Linked DNA regions of Rattus norvegicus. The protein of the gene in region 1 interacts with the protein of each later gene in a pairwise test. Links are inferred from orthologs where the notes say so. Each region holds a gene or a part of one and is shown on either strand. Other genes may lie near its edges.

What was found.
Region 2: the proteins of Nup62 (region 1) and Fabp3 interact in binary tests that used the Homo sapiens proteins (3 or more experiments, as listed by UniProt). The two-hybrid records come from large-scale screens. The link is inferred for Rattus norvegicus from reciprocal best matches to the Homo sapiens genes NUP62 and FABP3.
Region 3: the proteins of Nup62 (region 1) and C5h1orf216 interact in binary tests that used the Homo sapiens proteins (3 or more experiments, as listed by UniProt). The two-hybrid records come from large-scale screens. The link is inferred for Rattus norvegicus from reciprocal best matches to the Homo sapiens genes NUP62 and C1orf216.
Region 4: the proteins of Nup62 (region 1) and Krt20 interact in binary tests that used the Homo sapiens proteins (3 or more experiments, as listed by UniProt). The two-hybrid records come from large-scale screens. The link is inferred for Rattus norvegicus from reciprocal best matches to the Homo sapiens genes NUP62 and KRT20.
Region 5: the proteins of Nup62 (region 1) and Kansl1 interact in binary tests that used the Homo sapiens proteins (3 or more experiments, as listed by UniProt). The two-hybrid records come from large-scale screens. The link is inferred for Rattus norvegicus from reciprocal best matches to the Homo sapiens genes NUP62 and KANSL1.
Region 6: the proteins of Nup62 (region 1) and Cchcr1 interact in binary tests that used the Homo sapiens proteins (3 or more experiments, as listed by UniProt). The link is inferred for Rattus norvegicus from reciprocal best matches to the Homo sapiens genes NUP62 and CCHCR1.
Region 7: the proteins of Nup62 (region 1) and Iscu interact in binary tests that used the Homo sapiens proteins (3 or more experiments, as listed by UniProt). The two-hybrid records come from large-scale screens. The link is inferred for Rattus norvegicus from reciprocal best matches to the Homo sapiens genes NUP62 and ISCU.

Annotation. Positions count from the first base shown.
Region 1 is NC_086019.1:104,434,649-104,438,827, reverse strand, and holds the start of Nup62 (nuclear pore glycoprotein p62), read right to left. Parts: upstream 2,801-4,179; 5' UTR 2,742-2,800; exon of another isoform or gene 1,217-2,741; intron 1,080-1,216; exon of another isoform or gene 1-1,079. Other genes in the region: Atf5 (cyclic AMP-dependent transcription factor ATF-5), read left to right, coding at 4,050-4,179. UniProt on the Homo sapiens protein: Essential component of the nuclear pore complex. The N-terminal is probably involved in nucleocytoplasmic transport.
Region 2 is NC_086023.1:147,934,779-147,938,924, forward strand, and holds the start of Fabp3 (fatty acid-binding protein, heart), read left to right. Parts: upstream 1-1,346; 5' UTR 1,347-1,380; coding exon 1,381-1,453; intron 1,454-4,146. UniProt on the Homo sapiens protein: FABPs are thought to play a role in the intracellular transport of long-chain fatty acids and their acyl-CoA esters.
Region 3 is NC_086023.1:144,183,782-144,187,880, reverse strand, and holds the start of C5h1orf216 (UPF0500 protein C1orf216 homolog), read right to left. Parts: upstream 2,801-4,099; 5' UTR 2,629-2,800; intron 2,164-2,628; exon of another isoform or gene 1,439-2,163; coding exon of another isoform or gene 1,354-1,438; intron 549-1,353; coding exon of another isoform or gene 544-548; coding exon 1-543.
Region 4 is NC_086028.1:84,887,486-84,891,430, forward strand, and holds the start of Krt20 (keratin, type I cytoskeletal 20), read right to left. Parts: upstream 2,801-3,945; 5' UTR 2,768-2,800; coding exon 2,357-2,767; intron 135-2,356; coding exon 52-134; intron 1-51. UniProt on the Homo sapiens protein: Plays a significant role in maintaining keratin filament organization in intestinal epithelia. When phosphorylated, plays a role in the secretion of mucin in the small intestine.
Region 5 is NC_086028.1:89,823,621-89,827,120, forward strand, and holds part of Kansl1 (KAT8 regulatory NSL complex subunit 1), read right to left. Parts: intron 2,274-3,500; 5' UTR 2,191-2,273; coding exon 902-2,190; intron 1-901. UniProt on the Homo sapiens protein: Non-catalytic component of the NSL histone acetyltransferase complex, a multiprotein complex that mediates histone H4 acetylation at 'Lys-5'- and 'Lys-8' (H4K5ac and H4K8ac) at transcription start sites and promotes transcription initiation.
Region 6 is NC_086038.1:3,212,766-3,216,265, reverse strand, and holds part of Cchcr1 (coiled-coil alpha-helical rod protein 1), read left to right. Parts: intron 1-118; coding exon 119-229; intron 230-407; coding exon 408-557; intron 558-1,599; coding exon 1,600-1,710; intron 1,711-1,967; coding exon 1,968-2,074; intron 2,075-2,896; coding exon 2,897-3,009; intron 3,010-3,173; coding exon 3,174-3,219; intron 3,220-3,370; coding exon 3,371-3,500. UniProt on the Homo sapiens protein: May be a regulator of keratinocyte proliferation or differentiation.
Region 7 is NC_086030.1:48,515,897-48,520,193, reverse strand, and holds the start of Iscu (iron-sulfur cluster assembly enzyme ISCU), read left to right. Parts: upstream 1-1,497; 5' UTR 1,498-1,538; coding exon 1,539-1,652; intron 1,653-2,906; coding exon 2,907-3,020; intron 3,021-3,764; coding exon 3,765-3,875; intron 3,876-4,297. Other genes in the region: Sart3 (squamous cell carcinoma antigen recognized by T-cells 3), read right to left, coding at 19-327.

The DNA.
Region 1 (4,179 bases):
TTATAGACAAAGAATAACACACATGTTGGACACATAGCATGGGCTGGGTACTGGCCAAAGCTCAGGGTGGCAGGCCTCCAAGGATGACCACCAAGCACAACTGAAATTAAGATGGGTTTAGGGGTGGGGGAAGCATCTGGGTGGGACCCCAGGACAGAAAAAGGTTGTGCAGCCTTGGCTGTGACGGAAGCACCACAGGGAAGAGACTATGAGCTGGTACCCACTCTGCACTGTCTTTGAAACCTATCTCATTCCAAAAGTTTACTTTAAAATACTAAATTCAAGGAAAGGAGGACCATAGGCATTGCAACATGGCATACTGTTTCAAAAATAAAAAAGGGCACCTGTGGGGCCCAGGGATGCAGCTCAGGTGGTAGAATGCCTGTCTAGCATGCAATGCATGAAGCCATGGGTCCATTCCACTTCTGTATTAGTGGCAGCCTTTATGCATCAGTATCTAGTCTAAACAGACTCCACACAGAATTAATGCAGCCCATAGCTGGTAAGCTAGGGCTGGAGTCTGAACACATCACATCTCATGGTTACCTGTACTGGCAGCAGATACGAGTGCCCACTCCAGGCTGGAGAGATGTCTCAGCGCTTAAGAACACTGACCCGGGTTGGGGATTTGGCTCAGTGGTAAAGCACTTGCCTAGCAAGCGCAAGGCCCTGGGTTTGGTCCCCAGCTCCGAAAAAAAGAAAAAAGGGGTGGTGGTGGTGGTTGGGGATTTAGCCCAGTGGTAGAGTGCTTGCCTAGCAAGCGTAAGGCCCTGGGTTCGGTCCCCAGCTCTGGGAAAAAAAAAAAAAAAAAAAAAAAACACTGACCCATCCAAAGGTCCTGAGTTCAATTCCCAGCAACCACATGGTGGCTCACAACCATCTGTAATGGGATCTGATACCCTCTTCTGGTGTGTCTGAAGACAGCTACAGTGTACTCATACATAAATCTTTTAAGAGAGCCCACTCCAAGAGTAAAATTGCCAAGGACTTCCTGCTTGTAACTTTCAAAATCAGTTTTCCTCACCTGCTCCAATCTTTTTTCTTTTACAGTACCAGGAATAGAAACCAGGTCCTGGAAAGCAGCACTCTAGCCAATACTCTGCCACCAATCCCCCACCCCCAGCCCAGTATAATTGTTTTTTTAAATCAGGGTCTTTGTAAGTTCCCTAGAAGGCTAAGAACTCACTTTCTAGTCCAGGCAAGCCATGAACTTTTTTTTTTTAAATCACACTCCTAGTCAGCATTCAGACCTGTCACCACACGTGGTGATGGTGAAGGCCAGAGGACAACCGTCTGTCTATAGAGTTGCTTTTGGGTTCTGGGGATGGAACTCAAGAGGGTTGGGTTTAGAGATTACCACCTGAACTATCTCAAAGCAGCTCAGGCCCTGACCTTGACTTCCAATACTCCCGCCTTGGCCTCTTAAGTAGGTAAGATACCAGGCCTGGCCTTTGAGCTTTTTCTTTTTAAAAACACACTGAGGCCAGCCAGTATGACCTTGAATTCATGATTCCTTCTGCTTCCATCTTCCAAATGCTGGGAATATAGACAACTACCAAGCACCGTCCATGTGGTGCTGGGTGCTAAGGTTCTTGTGTGCAACAGGCAAGCACTCTTGAGTTCCATCTCCACCCATTCAGTCTCTCAGCTGCTACAAATATGATAGGCTGACTGGCTTCCACATGGAATGACGGCTATACTCGAACACGGGGCGGAAAACCGCCCCATCATCCTGGGGGACAGACAGGATCAAGAAACAATTTATCTAGTGGGGTCAGCAAGAGAGCAAGGACTGCAAGGAAGTCAGAGCAAGGGGCAAAACCTAAGAGGGTGGCATGATGAGCACAGCATGTAGCAAGTAGGGATGGCTGGAAACAGAAACCTTGGAGGTGGGACACACAGAATGATCATATGGATATGTTGGCTGGCTAAGAATCGGGGGTAGGGAGATAAAAAGGGGTGAAATCAGGCCCCCTCCCAGGGGTGGGGGCTTAATCTAAAAGAAAATAAAACGATTTTAGTAGTAGATGAAATGACTCAGTGGAGAAAGGCTGCCAAACAATCTGACCTGAGTTCCATCCCTGGGACCCTACTATATAGTAGGAGAACCAACTCCTGCTAGCTCTTCTTTGACCACCACATACATACACAATAAACGTTAAAACAAACAAGAAGGTTTAAGAGTCCTGATTAGGACTCCGTGGCCTACTTTCCATAGCTGGTATATTTGTGCGTATATCTATAAACAGCGACATCTCGCTGTTGCTCCCTTGAACTCGTCTATGAAGCCTAAGCTAGCTTGAACTCGCCATTCCGCGATGAGCTTAACCCACGAGGTCTCTCGGAGCGACATCGGTTTTAGGGACTGGTGGCAAATTTGTGAAGCAGGGATAGATAACGGGATGAGCTGGTTACGGGTGTAAGAGAGATCGAATAGGATCCAACCGATACAGGAAACAGAGTCCGGGCCCCCAGCCTGAAGCAGTGAGTGAAGGGTCAGGGCGACATGGCGGGCCCGGGGTCGCCACCGCCCCGTCGGGGCCCCGCGAGGGCGGAGCGCGGAGGGATCCAGGCATCCCGCGCTGCGCCGCCCCCGGTATATTTGTTCCCAGGCCCCGGGGCCGCCTCATTTTCAACCCTCTCAGCAGTCTCCCTTAACGCTCCTGCCACGCCGCCTCCGCCCGTGCAATGGCTCTGTAGCCGCGATCTCGTCGTGTCCCCCGCCCCGTTTCCGCGCTCACCGCGACTTCACTCTCTGCTCACACCGACTCTTCAACTGAGGCCGCCGCCGCCGTTGCCTCCTCTCCTTTTCGCAGCCATGGAGTGAGTAACCGCTCGCCCCTCCCTCTCCAACCGCCTTTCCCGCCCTTTCACAGAGCTCGCGGGGCTTCACGGGTCAGCCTCGTGGGGAGGGGGTGGGGAAGACGATATGAGGAACCACGGTCGCGCAGGCGCAGAAGAGGGAAGTCGGTGGCCGGCGCATCCGCTGAGCAAGCGCACTAGGCTCCAGGCGTGGGGGAGGGTGTGCTTCCGCAGAGTCTGGGGGCTTTTAAGGTCGGTTCGCGCGCCATTGCGCCTGCGCACTAATTCACAGACCCTCTTCCTCCTTTCCCCTCAGAGGATACGAACCCACACTCTATTGCGCATGCGCATTACCTTATTCCCGGCCTGAACTACGGAGGGCGGCCGGTAATTGGCTAAACACACGCACTGGTCCCCCCAGGAGGGTAGTGGCGTAACAATGAATCCGGTCCAGGGTCTGAGCTTTCGTCTTGCGGCTTAGCGAGCAATCAGCGAGGAAGGGTGGAGTTCCTCGAGGCTCTGACACTGGTCCAACTTCCCTCCAATCAGGCACCTGCTGGGGCGGGGACTGGCTTAGATTGACAGGGAAGGCTAAAGAACACCTTTAAGAAAGACTTGGAGCTAGAACCAAGGGGCGGGGCCTCTAGGGACTTGCTAGTTGGGGGCGGGAACTGACTTGACAGACAGGAGTGTGGGCGGGGCTTCCCGTAGAATCTGTAGAAGTCACCTAAAACTTTTAAGGGAAGAGTGGGATTTGTGTGTGTAACACTGATGAAGGGCCCAAGGCATGGCAGAATTATTCTGGGAACCCCTGTGAACTCTAAAGGGCGTATAGTCTAAAGAAAATATTGATGCGGAAGGGGCACGGCTAGAAGAAAATAAAATTACCTTGGGATTGAATTTTTTTACGAAGAGCAATAAGATGAGGTAGGTAGGAGGGGCTGGAAGTAATTCCCCTGGGAGAACACTAGGTTTCTGTGTTGAGGGAGGAGATGGGGCTGGGGAGTTTCCAAAAGTTGCCTTGGGAATGTATGGAGCTCTGGAATTTGCAGAAAGAAGAAAAGTGTGGGTAGCTTGTGGGTCAAGCAGCTTTGACTCAACCCCACCCACGCCACCTTGTCTTCCTCACAGGCCCTCCACCTTCGCCTTGGTGCCTGTCTTCACCCAGCTGAACAATCTTCCACGCTGCCTCCCAGTTGTTGGTGCAGCCTCCATTGCCATCGCAGCCCTGCACCTGTGCCTCAGCCATGTCACTCCTGGCGACCCTGGGACTGGAGCTGGACAGGGCCCTGCTCCCAGCTAGCGGGCTGGGCTGGCTCGTAGACTATGGGAAACTCCCCCTGGCCCCTGCCCCCCTGGGCCCCTATGAGGTCCTTG
Region 2 (4,146 bases), on another chromosome or scaffold:
AGAGAGGATCCTCCTTATGTAGCTCAGGCTGGCCCCAAACTCAAGATTCTCTTGCCTTCCAGGTGCCTTAATAACTAGTGACTGACGCCAGGCCAGCGGCACACAGCTGTAATCCAGGAGACAGAGGCAGGAAGATCTTTAGTTCAAGGTCAAGCCCGGCTACACATTGAGATGCCGACTTGGTAATAATTAAACAGAAACTGCTGAACTAAGGAACGGGCTCCACTGAGCTTCCTTTACTCACCTATGAAAAGGAGAAGATACCACCTACCAATGGAAAAGTTCAGTGGGTCCATGTCCTGAAAGCCGGCTACAACCATCCATGAAGTGGGTCTTATTTAATAAAGTGCTTTAAGGTGTCAAACAGTCTAGTGGCAGAAGTCAGAGATAAAACTGACTCCAGAAAAGGGTCGCGGCTTTCCGGCAGTTAAGGTGGCCGAGGCCAGAAGAACTATCTGAATAGACAAACTTTCTACGCGGAGTGAAGAACGACCCTGGCGCTAGCTCAGAGGTCAGAAAAGCCTGGAGCGCTTTCAGGCAGCGGTGGGGAGTGGGACTGCGGAGAGAGGCGCAGGCAGGAGACATTCCGCAGGGAGGGGCAAGCACGTGTGGGGCTAGCATGAGGGAAGCAAGGTCATGTTCTCCCAGAGCAGGTGAGGCGCTGGGCAGCTCAGCCTCGGCGGTGTCCAAGGCAACTCTTCTCCACTTGTCTGGATGAAGCAAGAAGGCTCAAGGGCCACTAGACCACGTTCTCTGTCCGGGCTCCAAATCTTTTCTACTTATGGTGACCGCGTCATTCCCATTCGAGCCTCCGCGCCTCTTCTACAAGAAGAGGACATAGGGCCGTTGAAATGGGTCATTAGGTAAAGGCATTTGCTGCCAAGCCTGACGACCCCAGTTTGATACGTGGGACCCACACGGTGGAAGGAGAGAAATGACTCCCGCGAGTTGCAACGCCCCAGTTTCCCCCTCCCCAATAAGCGCGCCTACACGTCCACGCACACTGTAATAAAACCACAGTGAAACAAGGCGCCAGAAGGATCAGGCGGCGTTTCCCCAGCGTGACGCCAGCTCAAGAGCGAGTTTCCTTTCAGTATGGCGGTGGGATGGATGCTCTATTTGGGTTGCGGGGAGCGCCGGGCAATCGGGCAGGGATGGGTTAGAGGGCACCGGCGGGACCGCGGGCGCCGCTGACGTAGGCGCCCGGAGGGCTGTGGGGGATGGGCGCTAGCCCCTTGAGGGAGTGCAAGCCCGGGCTTCCTATTTCGGGAGCAAGGGGTGTGGGCCACTTTCATCATGTGATGCGAGGGCTATTTAAAGAGACTCTCCAGCCGGGAGCCGCGATTCTCACTGCCTGCACGCCTCCTCTCTCATTGCACCATGGCGGACGCCTTTGTCGGTACCTGGAAGCTAGTGGACAGCAAGAATTTTGATGACTACATGAAGTCACTCGGTGAGCGAACGACTGGCGCAGGATCCAAGGGTCAGGAGGGCCCGCGAGGAGATCTTAGCGCTGAGCTCCTGCTGGAGGGCCCCGTGTGCCTCCTGCAACCTCCCTGCCAGTCCAGGCTGGGAATACTGGGGCGCTGAGGGTGGTCTGGGCTGGAGCAACTCCACCCGACCCTACCCCATCCCGGCCTCCTGGGAGGAGGTTGTCCCGGTCCAAGCTTGGTGAGCCTCCGTAGCTCGAGGGGTTGGCGGAAAGGCAGCCGTGGCTGCAGAGGTCCGGGCTGGGAAGCTTTCTAGGAAGCGATGTAGGCGATCTGGAGGTGAGGGGGCAGTGAAAGCAGGAGGGAGGTTGGCAGCAAGAGCATGGTGGTCTAGAAATTGAATCCCGAAAGGGAACAGCAGATGGAGAGTACTGTAGGAAGAAATACCTAGAGGCCTGGAGGTAAACTAAAGAAAATCAGTGAATTCGATCTGGGAAGAGGTGAAGACTCACGCGGGTCAGTCAGCAACAGTCCTCCCCCTCCACGTTAGAGTACAGAAGAGGCCTCTCTCTGGAAGATGCCCTCGTTCTCACCAGCCTGACCTTCAGTGAGTGCGGCCACCCCTGGGTTCGGCCAGAGACTGCTGCTAGGGCAGGGCAAGAGGACACCACTGTACACGTAGGCTTTCCGCCTGCACCATTCTCCCATCCGATCAGCACCCGGGATAAGGTGAAGAAAGCTGCTATCTGAGATACAGACAGGGTGCCAGAAGGGGGAGTGTGGTTTGGGGGAGAATAACGCTCCAAAGAACATTTGTAAGACCTGGGAAAACTGTGTGTGTTGGTGATGACACACGCCTTTAAGACCAGTGCTTTAGGGGGCAGAGGCAGGCAAATCTCTGAGTTCCGGGCCTGGTCTATACAGAGAGCATTCCAGGACAGCCAGGACTTCACAGAGAAAGCTTATCTTGAAGAAAAAGGAAGGAGGGAGGGGGGGGAGGAAGGGGGGGTTCCATGATTTGCTTAGTAGGAAAACACCCCAGTATGCACAAGCTCATCATGATACAAAAACCCAGGATTTTTTTTTTTTCTTTTCTTTTTTTTCAGAGCTGGGGACCGAACCCAGGGCCTTGCGCTTGCTAGGCAAGCGCTCTACCACTGAGCTAAATCCCCAACCCCAAAAACCCAGGATTTCTTCTCCAGGATACTGAAGCCTGAACTTAGAGCCTTGTGCATACCTGGCAGGCATTACAGGTTCTCATTAACTTGCCCAGGCTGGCTTTGACCTTGTAATCTGCTATCTCTCAGCCTTCCAAACAGTTGAAAACCCAGACCTACCTAGAGTTCTTCCCATCTCAACAGAGGACAGGGAGTGGGAAATGTCATATGAATACTCACCCAGGACTGGCCCCCCGCCCTTCCCTTCTTGCCTTGGGCTTAGCTAAAGACCCTTCCTGTGGAGTCCTACCAGGTTGGGGCAGGGAAAACTGGCCTGTGTCGTGTCTCAGTTAGATTCCACTCCTCCTTCTTGAGGCGGGAGGGCTGGAATATAACATGTTGGGGGTGTGTGTGCCCCTCACCTACTTCTGGCTCTTCTCTGAAACAAGTCCACAAAGGATTTGCCATTTTGGTTTTGGGGATGGAACCCAAGGCCTTTTGCACTTGCTAAGCAAGCACCATGACTGATGGGCCACAGCTCCAGCCAGTGCTCCCACCAGCATCTACCCTACCCTGAGAACAGCATGGTCCTCCAGGAAGACCACTGGTCTTGCTTTTTGTTTTGAGACAGGGTCTTAACTGCGCATTCCTGGCTCTCCTGGAGCTCCCTGTGGAGCTTCTCCTGGGGTTAGAGGCACGTGCCCACGCCCATCTAGTTGGCCGTTAAGGTAGGGAGTACTTTATTAGATTACTTGGGTTTAGTTCTGCTTCCCTGAGCTGTAGCTGCCTTCCTAGACTCGGCCCCAGGGCCCGCTGTCTTCAGGCCTTTGTTCTATAGGTACTGACAGAAACCAGGGCCTTGAGCAGGCTGAGCATGTCATCGTCCCATGCTGCACCCTTAGCTTTTGTTAGCGGACTGAAATTCTGTTTAGCCCGAACATATAGACAGGCTGAAGGCCAGTGAGGTGCAGATTCACCCTACCTTTCAGCCATGGCTTCATGAGCCGTGGCTTCAGGAGCACCCCACACCTTGTGGTCTTGGGAAAATGGCTGGTTCACTGCAGAAGTCAACCCACCCGATACCAGTAGGCAAAGCCAAGTCTCACTCCTTGCTGTAGTAGCCAAAGCCCCTGACTTATCCTATACAACCAAAGATTTTTTAGAACAGAGCAGCCCAGCCTCATTAAGTGACCGCAAGCCCAGAGGGTGGGCTTGAAGGGTAGAGTATGTTGTTCTGAGAATGACAAAGTGACTAAACACGGGCTGTTGATTTATTTAGCCTTTTTGAGACAGGGTCTCACTATAGCTCACTCTTCTGGTGCTATGCAGCCCAAGCCGGCCTTGAACTCTTGGCATTTCCCCTGCTCCCATCTTCTGAGCGAGATTCTAGGGGAGTCACCATGCTTGGCCTGTTTGACTTTGGCTGAGATGACACAGTGTCTAAGCCTCATTTGTGAATGGAAAGTAACAGAACCTATGCTTAGGGCTGTCCCGAGTATTACCTGGCCACCATGTAGAGCTTGTGCAATGTACACAGCTTCTCACAATACCATATCCCT
Region 3 (4,099 bases), on another chromosome or scaffold:
GATCCACTGGAGCAGCGCCAAGCGACGGTACATCACCAAATGCACATGGTGTTTCTCCTTCTCCTGTTCCTTGTAGCGCTCCTGAGCCTGCAGCTGCTGCACGGCCTGGGCCACAGAGGGCAGAAGGGGATCCAGGGGGCTTGGACCTCGAGGGGTGCTACAGCCAGCTTCTGCACTGCTGCTAAAGCTGCTGATGCTCAAGGAACTGCTGGCATAGCCGATGTCCTCCAGAGGAGAGCAGACGCTGCTGGCATCACTCGACTTCTCTGGCTCAGCACCAGGGATCTCTGCACCCTCCGGGGGACTGCGGACTCCGGCCTCAGGGAGCCCAGTGGCTTGGAAGACCCGGTTATCAGAGGGCGACTCAGAGGAGCTTCTTATCAGAATAGGATCCACACCATGCCAGTTCTTATTAGCATCCTTAGCGCTCTCCACGAAGTTGGAATTACTGTCTGGTTGGAGGTCCGGGTGACATACTCCAGGAGGCAGGCTCCCCAGGTACTGGGCCCCCTCTGCTAGTCCTGGCTGGATAGCAGCAAACATCTGGACTGTGAAGGAGAAGCAGAAGAATGAGTCACAGCAGGAGAGGATGGAATGACAACCTTGAGCCCAGTAACCTCCTCGTGGCTTTCACAGAGCGGGGTTTCCCTTTAAGGCTGCCCATCTCGTCATTCTACAAACTTCTCCCCAGGTCACTTCATCCTGTTACAGCTTCGAGAACCATCATGTGTAAGCAACTCTCAGATCCGTGTCCAGCCCAGATTCAACCCCTACTCAACCTTGTGACCTACCGCCGGTTCTTCAAATTCTACACATCCAGACAGCTCTCCTTGCAGCGTCCTCTGGCAGGACACTCTGCTGAGTCTAGCCACCCAGATGCCTAGGAGGACCTGGACTACTCACCCTCCTCCCATGGCCACCTCACTGTCCACATCTTGTCAAACTCTCCTTTAGCTCTGGTCATTTTGACCCAAGTGATTGTCACAGCCATTCCACTGACCCTCCTCCAACTAAAAATACAAACTTGGGTTGGAGAGAAGGCTCAGCAGTTAAATGGACTGGCTGCTCTTCCAGAGGATCTATGTCCCATTCCTAGCACCCAAGTCAGGTGGTTCACAACTGCCTGTATGGCTAGCTTCATCCCAACCTCGTCTTCTGGCCAATTTGTTCACCCACATGCACGTGTGCATACACAGATATGCTAATGTTTTTTAAAAAGACGTTCAGCTAAATAACAAATTATACTTTCAAAAGGAACATATGTCTACATGTATGTAGATGTATAGATATGGACAGATATATTCCATAAGAGAACCACATTTCCATGACGATTTATAACAGTAGCAAAATTACAGTTACTAAGTAGGAACAGAAGCTGGGCGGTGGTGATGTACGCCTTTAATCCCAGTGCTTGAGCCCAGAGGCAAGTGGATCTCATGAGTTCTACCACCAGGCTGGTCTACAGAGAGAGCGAGTTCCAGGACAGCCAGAGCTACAGAGAGAAACCCTGTCCGGAAAAACAAAAACAAACACAAACAAACAAAAAGGAAGTAGCAACAAGTTACTACTTGGGGGTCACCACAGTATGAGGAGCTGTCTTAAAGGGTCGCAGTGTTAGGAAGGTTGAGAACCTCTGCTCTAGAGCAAACCCAGCCAGCCATAGCAGGTATCAGTAATTACCTGCAGAGAGTGACTAAGGGGCTACCGTGGGGCTCCTGTTCTTAGGAAGACAGTAATAATGCCAGAAGGCGGCTACAGCAGAGACCCAGGGCTTGAAGCGCTGGTCTCTTTCTCCTCCTCCACACTAAGGAACCCCTGTCTCCTGAACCCACAATGACAAGCCTCTCTTGCAAGTCTGTCCCTTCCCCTCTAGTGCTCCTGGTACATGTTCATGGGACTCAGTTTGCTCCATGCTGATTTTCTCCCTCTCTCTCTTCCCTAATAATCGCTTTTGAGTATGAACTGACAAGACGTTCCATTGACCACACGTCTATGACCAGAAGGAAGAACTGAGGCCTCATGAGTGAAACATACCATTAAGTCAATCAAGCAGCCACTAGGAAGGTTCCCCTATAGGTGGCAGGGAGCCTCCCCACACCCAGCAATAGGCAGAAGTCATGGAGACTGAGGTTGGGACAGATGTTTCCACCCCTTTGGCTTGTAAGAAAAGGCCTGAAGACACCCCCAATCCCCCCCCGCCCCATACACACATACATACTCTATTTTAAAAATTTCCTAGGGGCTGGGGATTTAGCTCAGTGGTAGAGCGCTTACCTAGGAAGCGCAAGGCCCTGGGTTCGGTCCCCAGCTCCGAAAAAAAGAATAAAAAAAAAAAATTTCCTAAATTTGGCCAGGCTTACAAAGAAAGTTGGGGTGGGGTGGGGTGACAGTGGGGTTAAGCATCCAGGCTCAAAAAGTCAGTGAAATGAATCCAGACATCCCAAGATCAGGATCCCCCTCTCCTCCCAGCTAATCTATAGTGTAGGGGTAAGGGAGGGGACTGTAGCACGGGGATTGGCAGCCTCACAGGGGACAGAGAGCACAGTGACCCTGATCTCTGCAGAGGCAGCTCCCCAATCCACCCTCAGGCGGCTGGGCCCCAAGCACTCCATCAGGGCCCGGACTCACGGCCTAGAGGCGCCCGCTCCTGCGGGGTTTGCTATGGTTCCTCGGGGCCTGCTCGCTGTAGAGGCTGGGGGTGGGTCCTGGACCTGCGCGTGCACGCGCGGTGGCGCGGCTGCCTGGTCCTGGCACAGCCGTCCCAGCCCCAGCCCGGACTGCGGAGTCCAGCGGCGTCTGCGCGGCTGGGCGGGGCGGCCTGACTCACGTGGGCCGGTTCGGTTCTCCGCGCAGGAACTGCCTCCTCCCGCGGCTTGACCCGAGAGCCTTCTAGGTCCGGTGTCATCTCCTAACCACTCTGGCTAGGCGCCACCGATCCATCGTTTTTCCTGCTGTAGACATAGCGACGAAATAACTCCTTCCTGGGTTTCTCAGTGGCTAGGAAATTGGCGAGGCCGCGGTGCACGTCCCATCCTGCTGCAGCACTCGCTGCGGTCCTTTCCCTGCTCCAGCTCGTCACGTTTTCTGCTGAACTGTTCATCCCCATTTACTTTTAGGATCCTTGCTGACTCCTAGACCTGTTTTGTTTGTTTGTTTTTAAGTCCCTTCACTGTACTATACCTATTTGATGAAACGCACTTAGTGACAGCTATGCGGATGTTATTGTTTTGTTTGTTGTTTTGAGACAGAGTCTCATTATGAAACCCTGGCTGTCCTGGAAAGCACTACGTAGAACAAGTTGGCCTCCAACGCACAGTGAGATCCGCCTGCCTCTGCCTCCCAAGGGCTGGGATTAAAGGCGCGCTCCATCACCTGCAGCCAGTTTTAAAGATTTTATTTTTTATTTATGTATATGTGTTAGTGTCTCTGTGTGTGCGTGTGTAACTAAGAATGGAATCCCACTCCAGGTAAGTCACAGTTCTTCCTTTAGACAGGAGGATTTCAGACTATGGCTGCAGTATCACATTTCCTGACACCTGGAAGAAGCCTGTGTAATAGGGGAAAATGTGCGGCGCTGGAGCGGACACCCAGGAACGGAGACGAAGACACATGGCTGGCTAATGCCCCAGCCTCTGCTTCCTGAGTTTCTAGTTTTGATGCCTTCCCATGAAGTTCATATCTTGCCATATCCAACCCGAGTGGAATTTATCAAACTGGTAATCAAAAGATTCTTGAATTAATACACTAAACGTGATGAGGTAACCCTAGATTCTGATCATTCCCTGTTACTGTGTAGCCATTTACTCTGAACTGAAGCATTAGAGGGAGGGTTGTGAGATCCAGAAGATTCCCGAGGGCCCTCTTCAAGGTAGTGAGTGACCTAAGGGGTTGCTGGGGCAACAGAGACTCTTCAGTGGAGCTGCCTGCAAGTTGTGCTGGAAGCTCCAGGGATGCAGACTTTGTGAGTGGTCACTTAGCTGGATTCCGGTTTTCAGTGACCTAGCTGCCTTTGAGCTTTTGATGGCCCTGTGAGTGAATCCTGACTGATAACCAACCCTGGTCGACTCATCGGTTCACCAAGGAGACTTTGATGGGACTG
Region 4 (3,945 bases), on another chromosome or scaffold:
CACACACACACACACACACACACACACACACACACCATTTAGAGAACCTACTTCAATCTGAAGTCCTCTGCGGCCAGCTTAGCATTGTCAATTTGCAAGACGCATCGGGCGTTTTCTATTTGAGCATCCTTAATCTGGGAAATGTGAGAGGAAAAAAGAATGACATTTTCCCTTTGGGAAGGAGTGTAAGGTAATTTCATTGGTCCTCAGAGACAACTGTGATTCCATCATAAGTGATGTTCGTTTCAAGAATGACCGTGGGAGAACAAGAGGAACAGTGACAGAGGAATTAGTGTAGTGGCTTGGCCTAGTTTTTTTCTGATCATACGAAATGAAAGCTGAAGTCACCCACATCGCTGGACCTTTTTGAGCGCCTTGTTTGTGACACTGCTCACACTGGAGCCTTGCTGTTAACCCTTCTTACCTGGTGAGCTCGAGCTCCTTCCCCTCAGCTCAGACAACACTGTTTCGAAGTCCCCCACCCCATGACATCTTCCAGTTCTGGCAGCGAATGCACCCCTGCTGCTGTTGCCCCCACAGCATCCCTGCATCTACCCTTTCAGTGATGGTTTCTTTGGTCCGGGCCTGTTTCACGTCAGACACTTCATGTGCTGTCATTGTTCGCCATGTGTGTTGCTCAGGACCCAGCCGGTGTCTATGCAGTAGTGGCTGAATGGGAACTTGCTGTCTGTGCGAGTTAGGCACAGGACAGAAGGATGGGTGCACCCTGGATCCATGTGCATCTTTCTCTGTGTGTGCGTATGCGGAGGTCAAGGGACAGCCTTGCATGCTATTCCTTAAGTGCTACCATTTTGGGGGGTGAGGCCGGGTCTCTCAGTGTCTTGGAGCTCACCAATTAGGCCAGGCTGGATGACCAGCAAGTCCCAGGGGTCTGCTTGTCTCCACTCCCCCATCGCAGGGAGTACAAGCACACATTCTCCAGTTTTGTTTTTTAATCTGGGGACTGAACTCAGGTTCTCGTGTTTCAAGGCAAACACCGTGTTCTTTAAGATGGATGAGAATTAGAAGTCTACTTCTAGAAGATAGTAGAGTGGCATATCCCTCTCAGTGGCTATTCCTGGCGAGAGGCCACTCGATAGGCCTCAAACTACTGGACACTGAGGGCTGTGCCTCAGTATCACAGAAAATCCCCATGTCAATTCAGAAGCATCGACCTTGTGAGAAGTGCTTAATTTGAATTTTGTGTTGTATCAAAAAGCCCGAAGTACGGTCCTGGTGATGAAGTAATGTGAGCACCATAGCTTGGTGGTCTGTAAAGTCTGAAGTTAAGCTGCACTGATGTCTGTCATATAACCCAGGAAGAGGCCCCTGGCTCAGTCAAAGGTCTTTGCTCTAAAGGGGTAATAACTTTAAGATATAAACAAAACCAAAGGGGAGGCCTTTCTTGATTAGATAAGAACCCCGGAGCTAAGCCAATGGTACGTGCTAATGCTGACCTCCTTAGTCAGGAGCAAAGTCTCCAACTCTTATGCCATTGCCTTTATAAAAAGGAGAACCCCACCTACCGTGGATGATACAGGAGCAGATGGTGATATGACTGTAATAAAGTTGAATTGGGGGCAATAGAACATTTCATTATCGCACAGATGCATTATAAAATGCTTATTGATAGTGAGGAGATAATTAAACAAGGCATTAAAAAATCCAGGTATCAGAATTGTTGCATGATAGCACACTTCTTTAATCCCAGTGCTGAGGCAGTGGAGGCAGGAGGATGGTGAGGTCCAGACTAAACTGGGATACACAGATCTTGTATCAAAGACCAATCCTTCCTTCCTTCCTTCCTTTCTTCCTCCCCCTTCCTTCCATCTATCCATCCATCCAATCATCTATCATCCAACCATTTATCAATCAGTATAGATATCATTAATATCTGTATTGTGTCCACCCTGGAGCCTTTTGTTATTTATTCCCATAGTAGGTTAATACTTTTATTATAACATTCATATAACGAAAGATGAAAAATCTCTTCAAGTTGACTTGAGTCTTCCGAGTTAGTGAAGACAAGTAGCAAACTCACAGAAACCCTGGCAGGTCTCTGAAAAAAATAAGATCATTCACAACGAAGACCTTATATTGTAAATCATAGACAAAGATATAGGCTGCGATCTTGGATGATAAAATGGTCATATTTTATATGCAATTAGGTTGAAGTTTTAGAAAAAGCATGGGTTAAACCCATCCTGTTGACAGATACCACGAGATAAGATGCATTTTTTCAGTTATAAATTCCGACCTAATCTGCTTCATGTGTTTGAATTCACCTAGCGTACATCTCTCTTAATCTATTAGGCAACTGAACAGTGAGGTAGAAATCACGGACTTCATGGCTCACCTGATCTTGCAGCTCTTTGATCTGTGCGTAGTAGGAACTGTAGTCCCGGATGGTGCTCGGTGCATTGGTTTCGTACCACTGCTTGATCTGGGCTTCAAGTTTGGAATTGGATTGCTCCAGGGAGCGCACTTTTTCTAGGTAGCTTGCCAATCTGTCATTGAGGTTCTGCATTGCCAATTTCTCATTGCCCCCAAACAGGTCCCCTCCGTTGGAGAGATGGTTCCCGTAGCTCATTGTGGTTTTGGAGACAGAGATGCGGGTGCCGTGGCCTCCAGCCCCACCGTAGACGCTGGGTGCAACCCCCAGACGCTGCATGGTCCCCTTTCTATACAGGGAGCCACTCGTGCTGAGTGCTGGGCCTTGTGAGGAGGAACTCAGACTTCTGTGGAAACTTCGACGACTGAAGTCCATCTTGATCCCGGGAGGCAACACCTGTAGCCTGGAGTTGGAGCACACAGCCTGTCTCACGGTGCTGTGGCGCTAACCTTTTATAGAGTTCAAGAGACTCCTCCCCTGCTGCAGTGTCACCTCAGAAATGACACAGTCCACCTTCCTACCTCCCCTCCCCCTCTTTTGTACGGAAATATGGTTTTATTCCATTCTAGAAATTACCACTAGAGGCACTTCTTAAAGGCTTTCTGGGGGTGGTGGTGGTGGTGGTGGTTTCTTTTTAATAAACAGAGGTAACAAAAAGGACGAGGAAGGGGTGTTCTTTCAGGTCTTGCACCTGCCCTGGCGGGTTTTTCCCTCTCTCCCCGTATACAAATAAAGAATATTTACAATCTATATGAATAATTTAGGCGCTGAACAAGGCAGCTGTGGGAGCATAAAGTAAGTCACACTGGTGAGAAAAGACAATGGCTTGTTCCAATGATGATGAATTTGAAAAGAAAACGCTTTGTTTCAGGCTCTTTAAAAAATTTTTTTTTATTTTTACTTTTAAGTTTATCCTTGTTTAGAACTTACGTTTACAGTCTATTGAAATATCTTGAGTGGAGCTGGGTAGGCTGGTGAGCACCTGTGATTCCAGCCGCTGGGAAGCAGAGGCAGGGGGATCAGGACAAGTTTGAGGCCAGCCTGGCTGAAGTAAGGAGTGAAGTCTAGCCCAGTGCTGTGTAACAAGACCCTGTCTTGAGGTGCACAAACCCACTCACCAAGAATTTGAGAACTGAGTATAGTCAGTAGGTGAATATGTAAATGAGTATCGGTAGGCGGTGGATCAGTTGATTTCGGAGTGTTTTTTTTTTAAAGATATTTTAAATAGTGTTTTTGGGTAATTTCATCCGTGAATATGCAATGTAATATCCTCCCAGACTCGCCTCTCCAACTGCACCCAGATCCCACACAACTTCATGCCTTTTTCATTTTTCTTTAAAAAAAAACCTGAATCTAATTAGTGTTGCCTGTATGACTGTGGGTGTGGGGCCAACTATGGGGGTGTGGACAACCTGTCCGTGGTCATAGAACCTCGTCCTGGCTCCCAGCAGCCTGCAACTGCCAGGAACTCCTAGGTTAGCCTTATTTAAAAAAAGCAAACTTATTATAGAAATCTTGCAAATATTTTTAAGTATTAGCATCTAAATGGTTGA
Region 5 (3,500 bases), on another chromosome or scaffold:
TAATAAGCATAAAAAAGACAGAGTTTAGAAGATGTCTGGATGGTTGGACACATTAAAGTTCCTAGAAAGCAGAGTGTCTCTTCCTCATATCTCACCCACATAAATGTATTCATCTGTTTTCTCTGAAATATCTATATCATTTATAACAAAAACTGCTAAACATTAAGGCAGGCAAACCAAATATGAAAACCAAGCTATGGGAATATTAATTTATAGCCAAGTAATGAGAAGCACATATAAAACAATCTCGAGTTTCTAACTGGCATCTGAAGTGGTACTGGAGGGCAATCTTGAAGTCTCCCGAATGTGGGGGCTGGCACTGCTACCTATAAACGTGTCAGAATTAAAATGAAATTGTAAGACAACCTGCTGTTACCCACTAGAAATGACTGTTTGTTTAGAGGGAGAAACTGTTAAACTCTTCATAGTTGTGGATGTCTTCTCTATGCTGTTAAGAGTTGTTTTCCAACAGAAAGGAAATTTCATATTAAAATGACAGACAGGTATGCTGAAAGTTCAACAGAAAGCACTACAAATTTCAATCAATTTAACTAAATCAACACTTGTCCCTACATCCCAGAAACAACAAAATGTCAAGTTACACATTACAGTTTAAAATGTCCTGGAGTTTCAAAAGCAATCTATTCAGTTATTTTTTTTCTAGTTTCTTTTCACTACATCTTAAAAAGGAAAACTTTTAGCACACAGTAACAATACTATAGCGAAAATGCCTCCCATATCTCCACTTCAGCTATATGCTTTTACTTACCTAAAACTAGGAAAAGATTAGTGCAGCCTAGCTGTCAATATACAAGAATCATACTCTTTACAACATGGGGCTTTATTTAAATCTTGTCCCACATTTTTCAGGAATGACTGCATCATCATACGTTCTACTCACAGGGGCACATGGCACTGCTCAGGATCAGCTCGAGTCAGTTCTTCCTCTTCAATGTCAGACTCCCCTCCAGAGCTACTGTCTGTGACATCCGAATCAAACGCTTGCTCACTGCACCTCAGGTTGGCTATGCCACTAGCTGTAAATCTCTCCAATTCTTCTGAAATTGAATCACTTTTCAAAAAGTTGCTAAGTCCCTCTGAAGTGGCAGTCTCGCTGGCAGCTTTTCTCAAGGCAGCTTCAGCCTTTCGAGTCAACATCAACTGGCTCCTGGACCTTAAGGATTCCAAATTTGGCAGTTTACTCAATGTCTTCTCCAAAAATCCACCCAGTTGGTGCTGTAAATGTCTCTCCACCTGCTTGGCCTGCACAACCTGTAATCGCTTCTGTAACCTGCGGGCACGGATCTCAATATCAGCCTGCCGCCTCAGTAAAGCTGTTATCCTTGTGTCAGAGTCTAAAGCACTGAAGAGAATGGAAGACAGGGGAGACTTTTTGACTTCTAACTTCACACTTGTCAAGTTAGAGCAGGAGTCTGTACTGGGTGATAACCTGCTGCTTCCTTGAAGTGCCGGCTGTTCCATGGAGTTCACAGGAGATTTGTTTACAGTGCTATTATTGCTATAGAGAGTTGTGTGTTGTGTATCAAGGCTTCTATGTGGAAGAGTGCAATTGGTCATACCCCCCTTCAAGTTCCCAGAGTCAGATCCCCCCACCTCACCTCCTTGCAGAGATGATGAAGTGAGAGACCGTTTTCCCCCATTGAGGGAACTGGAATTGTCATGATCCGAATGTGTTGAACTTTTAGTCAATTTCTTAGCCAATCCATTTACAGGCGCTTGTGGCAGAGCTGTCTGACCACTTGTATTCATGGTTCTAAGATTTTCTAAGGAAAACTCCAAAACTGGCTGTCTCCCCAACAGCTCAGCTCGGAGTTCATAGGACTGAGATAAAAGAGGATGAGACTTAAGAACTGTCTGCTTGCTGAAAACGCCTTGCAATTTCAAAGACTCTTTTGAGGGAACAGATGTTACATCAGAGCAGAGATAAGATGCCACCAATGGCTGCAGCTTTCCCAAGTCTTCCTTGGTAGGATTATTGCGGAAGTCTAGACTGGGATCCTCCGCAGCAATGGCTTTTCTTTTGGTTCCGTTGGCAGAAATAAGAATATTGGCGTTGCCGTTATTTTCGGCACTGCCAGGGGACAAGGTGGAGGATGGGGGAGCCAGTTTGAACCGGATGTGGTGTGCTTCAGCTGCTGCGTCAGTGAGAGCGGGCGCCATCGCAGCCATTCAGCACAGAGAGACAGGAAGTCCAGCCTCTCCCAGTGCTGAGGCCAGCTCCACGGCCCCTTACTGCCTCCCCTGAGAACACACTGAAAGAGAAAAAAGGGAAGTCAGAAATACAAGCACATTTAAAAACAACCCACATTTTCAACAGAAGCACCACATGAGGCTATTGTCCAAACTTTGCCTCCAAAATAAGGAGAATAACTGTGAAGCCATTCTGGAACCTGGAGATATCTTTTACCTAGAAGGAGAGGAACACAATCCTTTACAAGAAAAGTAATTTTGCCCTTCATGTCAATTGTTAACTACAGACTGAATAGTGTCAAAACAGAAGTCTTATTTTGAAATAATCCCAAACAGTTATAATCACTTGTATTTAAAAGAAAACCTCTTTGCCTGGTGGTGGTGGTGGTGGTGGTGGTGGTGGTGGTGGTGGTGGTGGTGGTGGTGGTGGTGGTGGTGGTGGTGGTGGTGCACACCTTTAATCCCAGCACTTGAGAGGCAGAGGAAGACTGATCTTTTCTGAGTTTGAGGTCAGCTTGGTCTACAGAGAGAATTTCAGGACAGCCAGGGCTACACAGAGAAAAATCTGTTGGGGAGGGAGGACTGGGGTAACACAACTCTAAATGTTATATTATTAGACTGAATATGGTCCTAAGATGAATACCCAGTCATAGAAGAAAAGAATTTTATTCTCATAAAAAAGTTTATGCGGAGTTATTTGTCTGCCCAGGAATCTAGTTCTCACCAGTTTCTTCCTTACAAATTTCTATTGTATCACTAGGCTAACTACACCACACTGTAACATCAACTTTCATTCAGCACATATCTCTTCTCCTGGGCTCTTTATTTTCAGAGTAAATCTGTATCTTTAAGAGTCCAACATAACTCTCTCACTTCCCCCACACCAAAGCACTTCCAAGTAACATTTACCACTGCCTTTATACTTTTCACCTCTAGACTTTAGAACCTCCCCTATCACTCCAGGAGGGGTAACCAGTGTATAGTCAGCAGCCCTATCCTGACTTTTCCCTAACCGATAGGTAGTGTGGACTTCCCTGAAATTTTCTTTCATGATAGCCTTGCAACTATTCTATTCTCTTCTTCCTTGAGATCCTCCTAAAATAAAATGCTGGTCCTGCCCAAGATCTCTTCCATTTGCCTTCTCTTCAATTCACTTCCTTAGCAAAAACTACCAGCATGAGGACTACTAACTCAGAAAAAAAGGCAGAGAGAGGCATTAATCAGTGTTTTAATCCTCTAGCCCTTGAAACCTCAGAATTGACTTTCTTCTTCAAGATACTTTTTTCCTT
Region 6 (3,500 bases), on another chromosome or scaffold:
AGGGGATGGATTGGGAGGAGAGAGCATAGCCCTCTAGAAGGGAAGCCATGCTGTCCTTGGGACTACCCTCGGTCTGAGGGTAGCGTGGGGATCCTGAATGATGGAGTTCTTTTCCCAGCACTTGAAGGAGGACAGGACTAACCTTCAGGCCACCGTGGAGCTACTGCAGGTACGGGTACAGAGCCTCACACACATGCTCGCCCTGCAAGAAGAGGAGCTGACCAGGAAGGTAGGCCCCTCCCTCATCCTCCAAACCCTGCCCTGCTGTAGGCCTTCCCTCTCTGGGGAAGGTAGGTGGTATACTACTGAGACCCCTAACCGCCTCACCGTGGATGGCAGGACTGGAAGGACAAGGTCACCAGTTCCCGCCTCCTTAGAAGATCCATTCCCTTCTTTCCCACGTGCAGATTCATCCTCTAGACCCCTTGGAGCCCGAGTTTCCTAAGAAGTGCCGCTCGTTGCTGCGCGGCTGGCGGGAGAAGGTGTTTGCCCTTATGGTGCAGCTCAAAGCCCAGGACCTGCAGCACAGGGACTCCACCAAGCAGCTGAGGGACCAGGTCAGGGGCTGTGTCTCTCCCAGTGATGACAGTTAGTCTTTGGGTGGTTGCCACATGCTGGGCACAGAGCCCTGAGCAGAAGAGTCCCCGTTTTCACGGAGCTTGAGTCCTAGAAGGACGCACGGAGAAGCAGAAAAATGGGTCACATCGTCATACACGTGCTACGGAGAAGCGGTGGTGACAAGACTGAGGTGGATGGATAGGATGGTCAGGGACGGCCTCTCTGAGCAGGCCACAGCATCCATCAGGGCGTGGCACAGTCAGGGGAAGGGATCAGGATGGTTTCCCAAAGCGTGGGCAGCCTGACTCAGAAAGAAGATTCAAGACAGAGTTTTCTGTGTACTGTAGCTGTCCTGGAACTCACTTTGTAGACCTGACTGGCCAATAAGTGATCTGCCTGCCTCTCCCCTCCTCATGCTGAAATTAAAGGTACGTCTTACCACACCATACCACACTGGGCGTTCTTTTCTTCCTTCCTTCCTTCTTTTCTTCCTTCTTTCCTTCCTTTCTTTTCTTCTTTCTTTCTTCCTTTCTTCCTTTCTTCCTTCCTTCCTTCCTTTCTTTCTTTCTTTCTTTCTTTCTTTCTTTCTTTCTTTCGTACTTAATTTAGCTGGGTGTGGTGTACTCCTTTAATTCCAGCAGGTAGGAGGAAGAGGCAGAGGGTCTCTGAATTTGAGGCCAGCCTGGTCTACATAGTGAGTTCCAGGACAGCCAGAGCTACATAGTGAAACCCTGTCTTAGAAAGAAAGAAAAGGTGTGTTTATTTTGTTTTATGTGTCTGAATGTTTTGCCTGCATGTATGTCTGTGTACCATGTGCCCATGGAAGTCAGGAGGTGTTTGCTCCCCCAGAACTGGAGTTACAGATGGTTACGAGCCATCCTGTGGGAAAAGGGACTCGAACTCTGTGAGAGCAGCCAGCGTTCTTAACCACTGAGCCATCTCTGCAGCCCCAGTCTGGAGACTCCTGCCCCGTCTCCTTCACCGGCATTCCCCATAGCTTTGGCTCTAGATTTCCCTGCTCAGTTCCCTCTGCTCCTGTAGGTAGCAGAGCTCCAGGAGCAAGTGACTGCCCAAAGCCAGGAGCAGGCCATCTTGCAGCGTGCCCTACAAGACAAGACTGCACAGGTGGAGGTGGAGCGGATGAGCACCAAGGTCTGAGGGTGAAGCTCCTTAAGGGAGGAGGGTGAAGCTCCTTAAGGGAGGAGGGTGAAGCTCCTTAAGGGAGGAGGGTGAAGCTCCTTAGGGAGGAGGGTGAAGCTCCTTAAGGGAGGAGGGTGAAGCTCCTTAAGGGAGGAGGGTGAAGCTCCTTAGGGAAGGAGGGTGAAGAAGACCCTGGCTGGGTCTGTGGGCCAGGGGCCAGGGAGGGAGGTGTACGAGAGAGAGCGCACACAAAGCTGCATCCTTACCAGACCCTGAAGATGGAGCTGAGTCAGGCGCAGGAGGCCAGGTGGAGGCAGGAGCAGCAGGCGGCCTCTGCTGAGGAGCAGCTGAAGTTCGTGGTCAGTGCTATGAACAGGTATCTGTCACAGAGCAGCAGGTGGAGGAGCCCGGAAGAGCCTCAGGCGAGAGAGAGAGAGAGAGAGAGAGAGAGAGAGAGAGAGAGAGAGAGAGAGGCAGGCAGGAGGATGCAGGATGGAGTATGCCGGCTTCCTGCACTTTGGTCTACTGTGCTCTGAAGCTAAGTAGGGCAGCTAGGAGGAGCTGTGACTTCGGAGGTCAGGGAAGGGAACTGCAGCCGTGTGCAAACCTCCCTCCCTCCCTCTCTTCCTCCTTCCTTCTTTTGCAACCCTAATTGTACAGCTGGGCTGGTCTATAGCTCAGTAGCAGAACACTTACCCAGCATTCAGGAATCTCTGGTTTCAATCCCTGGCACCAGAAAGGAAAGCTGAAACTTTTAAACTTGCACAGACAGAGTCAGACTAGTTTAGAAGAACCAGATTCAAAGCTCTGCACGTGCCTGCCTCCAGGAAGATGTTACGGTGTCGTGTCTGGGGTTTTACTTTCTGCCAGATCACATACATGGTTCTCAATAAAAGCTACCAGAAAGCCCTTCCAGGCTTTGAACACCCGTACCCCAGTTGAGATGTTCTGACTGAGCTTAAGCACTTAGATCCTCTAGGTTTGCTAAGGAGCTGGATTGACCTGCAGGGTTCGCCAAGGTCCTGCCTCTCCTGTAGGCTCCCGTTTCTCCTTTGCTGGCTACTTAACAGCCCCCCCCCTCCCCCCACACTCCCCGCTCATGTACCAGGACAGGACAGACGTGTCCTCTGCCCCAGACCCTGCGGGTCTTGAAGGGATGAGGGGAGGAAGGACCGTGAGTGACCTATATCTTCTTCAGCACTCAGGCCAGACTCCAGAGCACCATGACCAGGGTGGACCAGGCTGTAGCCCGGATTCCCAGCCTCTGCAACCGGCTCAGCTATGCTGTCCGTAAGGTCCACACCATTAAAGGTACACAGAATGACCTAGCCCTCCTTCCGGCCTAGCCCTCTTCCTCTTAGCTCTGGATCTAACCCCATGTTTGTCCTCTGTTGCCTTGGTAACTATCACTGTCCTGTGCTCCCCGCCACCCTCTGTCCACGTGTTCTCATCTGTCTGTCCTCTCTTCTCTTCAGGTTTGATGGCTCGAAAGTTGGCTCTTGTTCAGTTGCGCCTGGAGAGGTAAAGTTCGGGCACATTGAGGTGGAGGGGTGTGTGTGGATGTTGGGGACAACCTGTTGGCTGCTAGGACCCAGAGGGACCAAGGAGGGGTGGAGGCACCGGTCACTCAGTTGCTGGGGAGGTTTCTCTGACTCCATCATCGCTGTCCCAGCTGTCCCCCACCTGAACCTGCACCCCCACCGGACACGGACCTGAGCCTTGAGTTGGAGCAGCTACGGGAAGAACGGAACCGCTTGGATGCAGAACTGCAGCTAAGTGCCCACCTGATCCAACAGGAGGTG
Region 7 (4,297 bases), on another chromosome or scaffold:
CCGCCCACCCCGGCCCACCTGCTCCTCCAGCCGCTCGATCTCCAACTGGTTCTTCTCCTCCTCCTCGTCGTACTCCCACTCGTCCTCCCCGGCGGAGCTCTCGGCGGAGGAAGCCATGGCGGCGTCCTCCTCATCCCCATCGCTCTCGCTCACACCTTCCTGGTGCACCTCCCGCTCAGGGCCCTTGGCTTTGGCTGTCTCCGCGCTGGACAGCACCTTCCTGCCCACACCCGCCGGCTTCGCCTCATCCTCCTCTCCCTCAGCCTCAGGCCGGGCCTGGGGCTCAACCTCCGGCTCGGACGCCGAGGATGCAGTCGCCGTCGCCATCTTGCGCAGCCCGCGATTCTCGGGTCCTCCCTCGCCCGCCGAAGCCCGGCGAACATTAGGCTGTCCGTGGCGTCTGCCTGACCAAAACTCCGCTCGGCGCCAGCGGAAGTGGCACGAAGGGCCTCAGGGCGGAGGAAGCCGTGAAGACTCCACCACTGATATTATCCTTAGGCGTCTCTGGACGCCACTGTCAGGAAGAAAGGCTCACTAGCATAACCTGCGTCGGGCTACGACCTTGGACAGCTTTTGGGTCTTGGGACCGGAAGTGGCAGCCATACCGGCAGTTGTGTGTGCGTGATGGCCATAGTTAAGGTCCAGACGCCATCTTAGGAAGGTCAAAGTCATTTTTTTTTTTTTTTTTTTTTTTTTTTTTTTTTGGACTAAAGGATTTCTGCAAGGCTCAGCCCGCTCCAGTGCGTTGTTGTTTCGCAGCAACCGGCCCTCAGGTGCGGACAAAATTCCAGTTCCTCCGCGATACAATGCACCATTCACGAGAAAAGCCTATCTCTCAGTATAAAGCTCCCTCCCCTTTCTAGCACCTAGTATCTAACAGGTGTTAGACGCATCGATTTTGTGACTATATAGCCAATGCTAACACATTACAGTAAGTATCGTCTCGGGATGCAGTGGATTGTAAAACAAACATGTACATGTCGAGGAGGTATGGTGTTTGTTTCTTTTATACTCCTCGTTGTTGAGGTAGAAAAAAAAAAAAAGAACACTGCTGTTTTCCTCTGCACTGCCTTTCTCCTTCATCAGCAAGGTTAACGAGACAGGAATTGCTTTCCTCGGGACTCCCAGGAATTTTTTTTTTTTAGTGACACCTAGTGTACACTTGACATGTTATTTGCTCCGTAGATGAAACGGCTGCCTTTGAATTAGAAAAAAAAAAGCCTGAACCTGAACAGAGACTCATGCAAGCTCGAATCCCAAATAAGCCTGAGTCTGAGCATCCTCGGGCAAGTCAGGCCCGGCTTCCCACTTCTGGGCGGCCCCACGCCCATCGCAGCACCAGACAAACGTGACCGCAGCTTCAGACCTTCCCGCTCTGCGCCGCGTCCACGCCCCTTCCGGAGGCGTGACCAAAGAGACCGGCCGAAACGCGTGCACGCGCTTGGAGCGGAGAGCGCAAGCGCCAAGCAGCGGTGACGTCATACAAGCGCGCCCTCCCTTCGGCGTCGCAGAGGTCGACGCAGGTGCAAGCCGGCAAGATGGCGGCGGCTGGAGCGGGCCGTCTGAGGCGGGCGGCGTCCGCGCTGCTGCTCCGGAGCCCGCGCCTGCCCGCCCGGGAGTTGTCGGCTCCTGCCAGGCTCTACCACAAGAAGGTATGGGCGGGCGAGGGGGTACGCGAACCATCGAGGGGACCTGCAGCTGTTGCACAGATAACCACCGAGGACCCCGCGGCCACCTCAGCCCCGCCGCGGCCGCTACTCCAAGTGTCCCAACTCTGACAGCCCAGAAGGGAGGGTCCTGGTATGTCGTGCCGGGGGTCAAGGGGCAGCACACATACATGCATGAGCACACGTTGCAGCACCGGCATGCTCACCAGCTAGGCCATTGCCCTGGCTAATTGGCCTTGAGCAAGTCACTGACCCTTGCCCAACCTTTCTCTTAGATCTCACATGGGTCTTCTGCAGTCCCTGTGTGTAGAGCGCTCGGTCCAACAAATGGAAACCACTTATGACGTTTACTATAGGAGCTGATGGCCTCGAGCTCAGCCAAGCACCTAGGCAACATAAAACTTCGATTCTCGGTTATTTATTTGTGGTGAGCAGAAAGTATGGAAGGGTAGTTTACGGCCCCCGCCTTCTAGGGACGTTAAAGTCCCCTTGACATGAGACTCACTCGAAAAAAACAAAACTACCACAAGCTGTACAAAACACCAAAAGTCCTGATTAGATGATGCGTGATGGAGCCCCAGGGCTTAGATTCAAGGTGCAGATGAGGGTGCCTCCTGGTGACTGGGGCTGGGGGGGGGGGTGGAGGGCACTCGGTTTTTATCTTGGTGTGTCCCTGACTTTAATGGCTGTTTGTTCTGCTCTGGCTTGGGTGCCATTGCCCAAGGCCTTCACCCCAAAGGGAAGGTTGTTTTGTTGACATTAGCTACAGGACCTTGTGCGAGCTGGCAGCGTTAAGGCACCAGAGGGCGCTCCTGCATCGGGGTGGCGGCGTGTTTGTTTACAGCCACCAATGACTCATTCATTCCCCAACCTCCGGCTCATTTCTAACAGTCACCTTGAAACTTCTTGGGAAATCTTACATTTGGAGCCATTTTTATTCTTGGGATTTTTAAGTGTATAATTCTCTTTGTGTATTGTGTTTGGTAAAAACAGAAATGGTGCTTGAGCACAGACCTGGTAGAATGTCTGAGTCAACTGATGGCTTTTGGTTGACAGCCCCTTGAAATGAAGGTGTGGCTGAGTTTTCACCGATACCATGGACGTATCTCCAGTACAAAGGTCGTTGGGGAGGAGATAGAGTTTAGGTCTCACTTTGAGCTCCTATCTCTGTCCCATACAAATTGCTGATCCGAGGGAGAGAGGAAAGCCTCAGTGATATCTGTTGATCTGCCATTTCAGGTTGTGGATCATTATGAAAACCCTAGGAACGTGGGGTCCCTTGACAAGACATCTAAAAATGTTGGAACCGGACTGGTGGGGGCTCCGGCATGTGGTGACGTCATGAAACTGCAGGTACTGGCTGGATGAAAAGGATCACCCCCTGCACCCCAACAAGAAGTTTGCTCACAGAGCATTTCATCTTGTCTGCCATTCCTGTGAGGAGGGATGGGCGGCTGACAAGGATGGGTCTCTGTTCCGAAACAGGTGGCCTCATTCTCCACAACACCACCACACCAAGGCATCGGTAGATCTTGCTTTCACCGAGTGAAAGACTTTGTGACTGTTCTGACCAAATGAAGGCCCCCAGTGAGAAAAGGAATGTGTTAACCAAACCTCTCCAGGAAAAGGAAGCGGGGTGGAAGGTGGTGGGCTGGGCCTAGGTCAGCTGGAGTTTTAGCTCAGCCTCAGCCTCCTTAATGGCAGGCAGAAAAGAGCTGTTAATTACAGTTGGTGCCCAAGAGAAAGGGATTGATGGAGACCTTGGTTACAGACTCTGTCAGTGCCTGAGGTGCTGATGGGGGGACATCTATAAACAGACCCCTGCAAAATAGGCACTCACATACAGCAGGCAAGGGCCGAAAACAACCAAGCGGGGTGAGGGGCACTGTTCCTTGCCCCTCTCCCAGCTGAGCCTGTGTGGACCCCAAGTTTCACTTTCTGTCGCCAAGTCCTTTGAAGCAAAACACAGTGATGAATGTCATGGCATGTGGAGTCATAGCAAACCAGGGCTCGTGTGGAACACTCACCTCTGGAAGTTCCCGGCTCCCGGATTCCAGGTGTCAAGCTGTGGCCTCTCAGCTCCCGTCTCTTTTCTAGATCCAGGTGGATGAAAAGGGGAAGATTGTGGATGCCAGATTTAAAACATTTGGCTGCGGCTCCGCCATTGCCTCCAGCTCCTTAGCCACGGAGTGGGTAAAGGGGAAAACGGTAAGGCTGCTCAGAGAGGGAGGGAGGGAGGGAGAGAGAGAGAAAGGGGGGGGGGAGCCCATTTTTCTAAGGTTTAATTTCTCTTCCTACCCGAGCACTGATTACATTCCTTACTCTGGAAGTTTAAGACCATCTTGTTGCTTGAGGCAGTGTGTTAGTCACTGTTGTCACTGGTTGCCAGTTCAGTAGATGAGAATCGCCACCAGGCCTCCCAGCAGTAGAACTGAAAGATGGTTTTGGGCTTTCCCTGATGTCCCTAAGGTCACCAAGGTCCCCTAAGAGCTCCTGAGCAGCATTTACTGTTTGTTTCATCCCATCTCCTCCTTCAAGGAGGAGTCCAGAAAGACATGCACAGATTGCAAAAACAACTTTGTCGGAGGGAGGAGTTGGAATTCAAAATCTGGGGCTGGAGAGATGGCTCA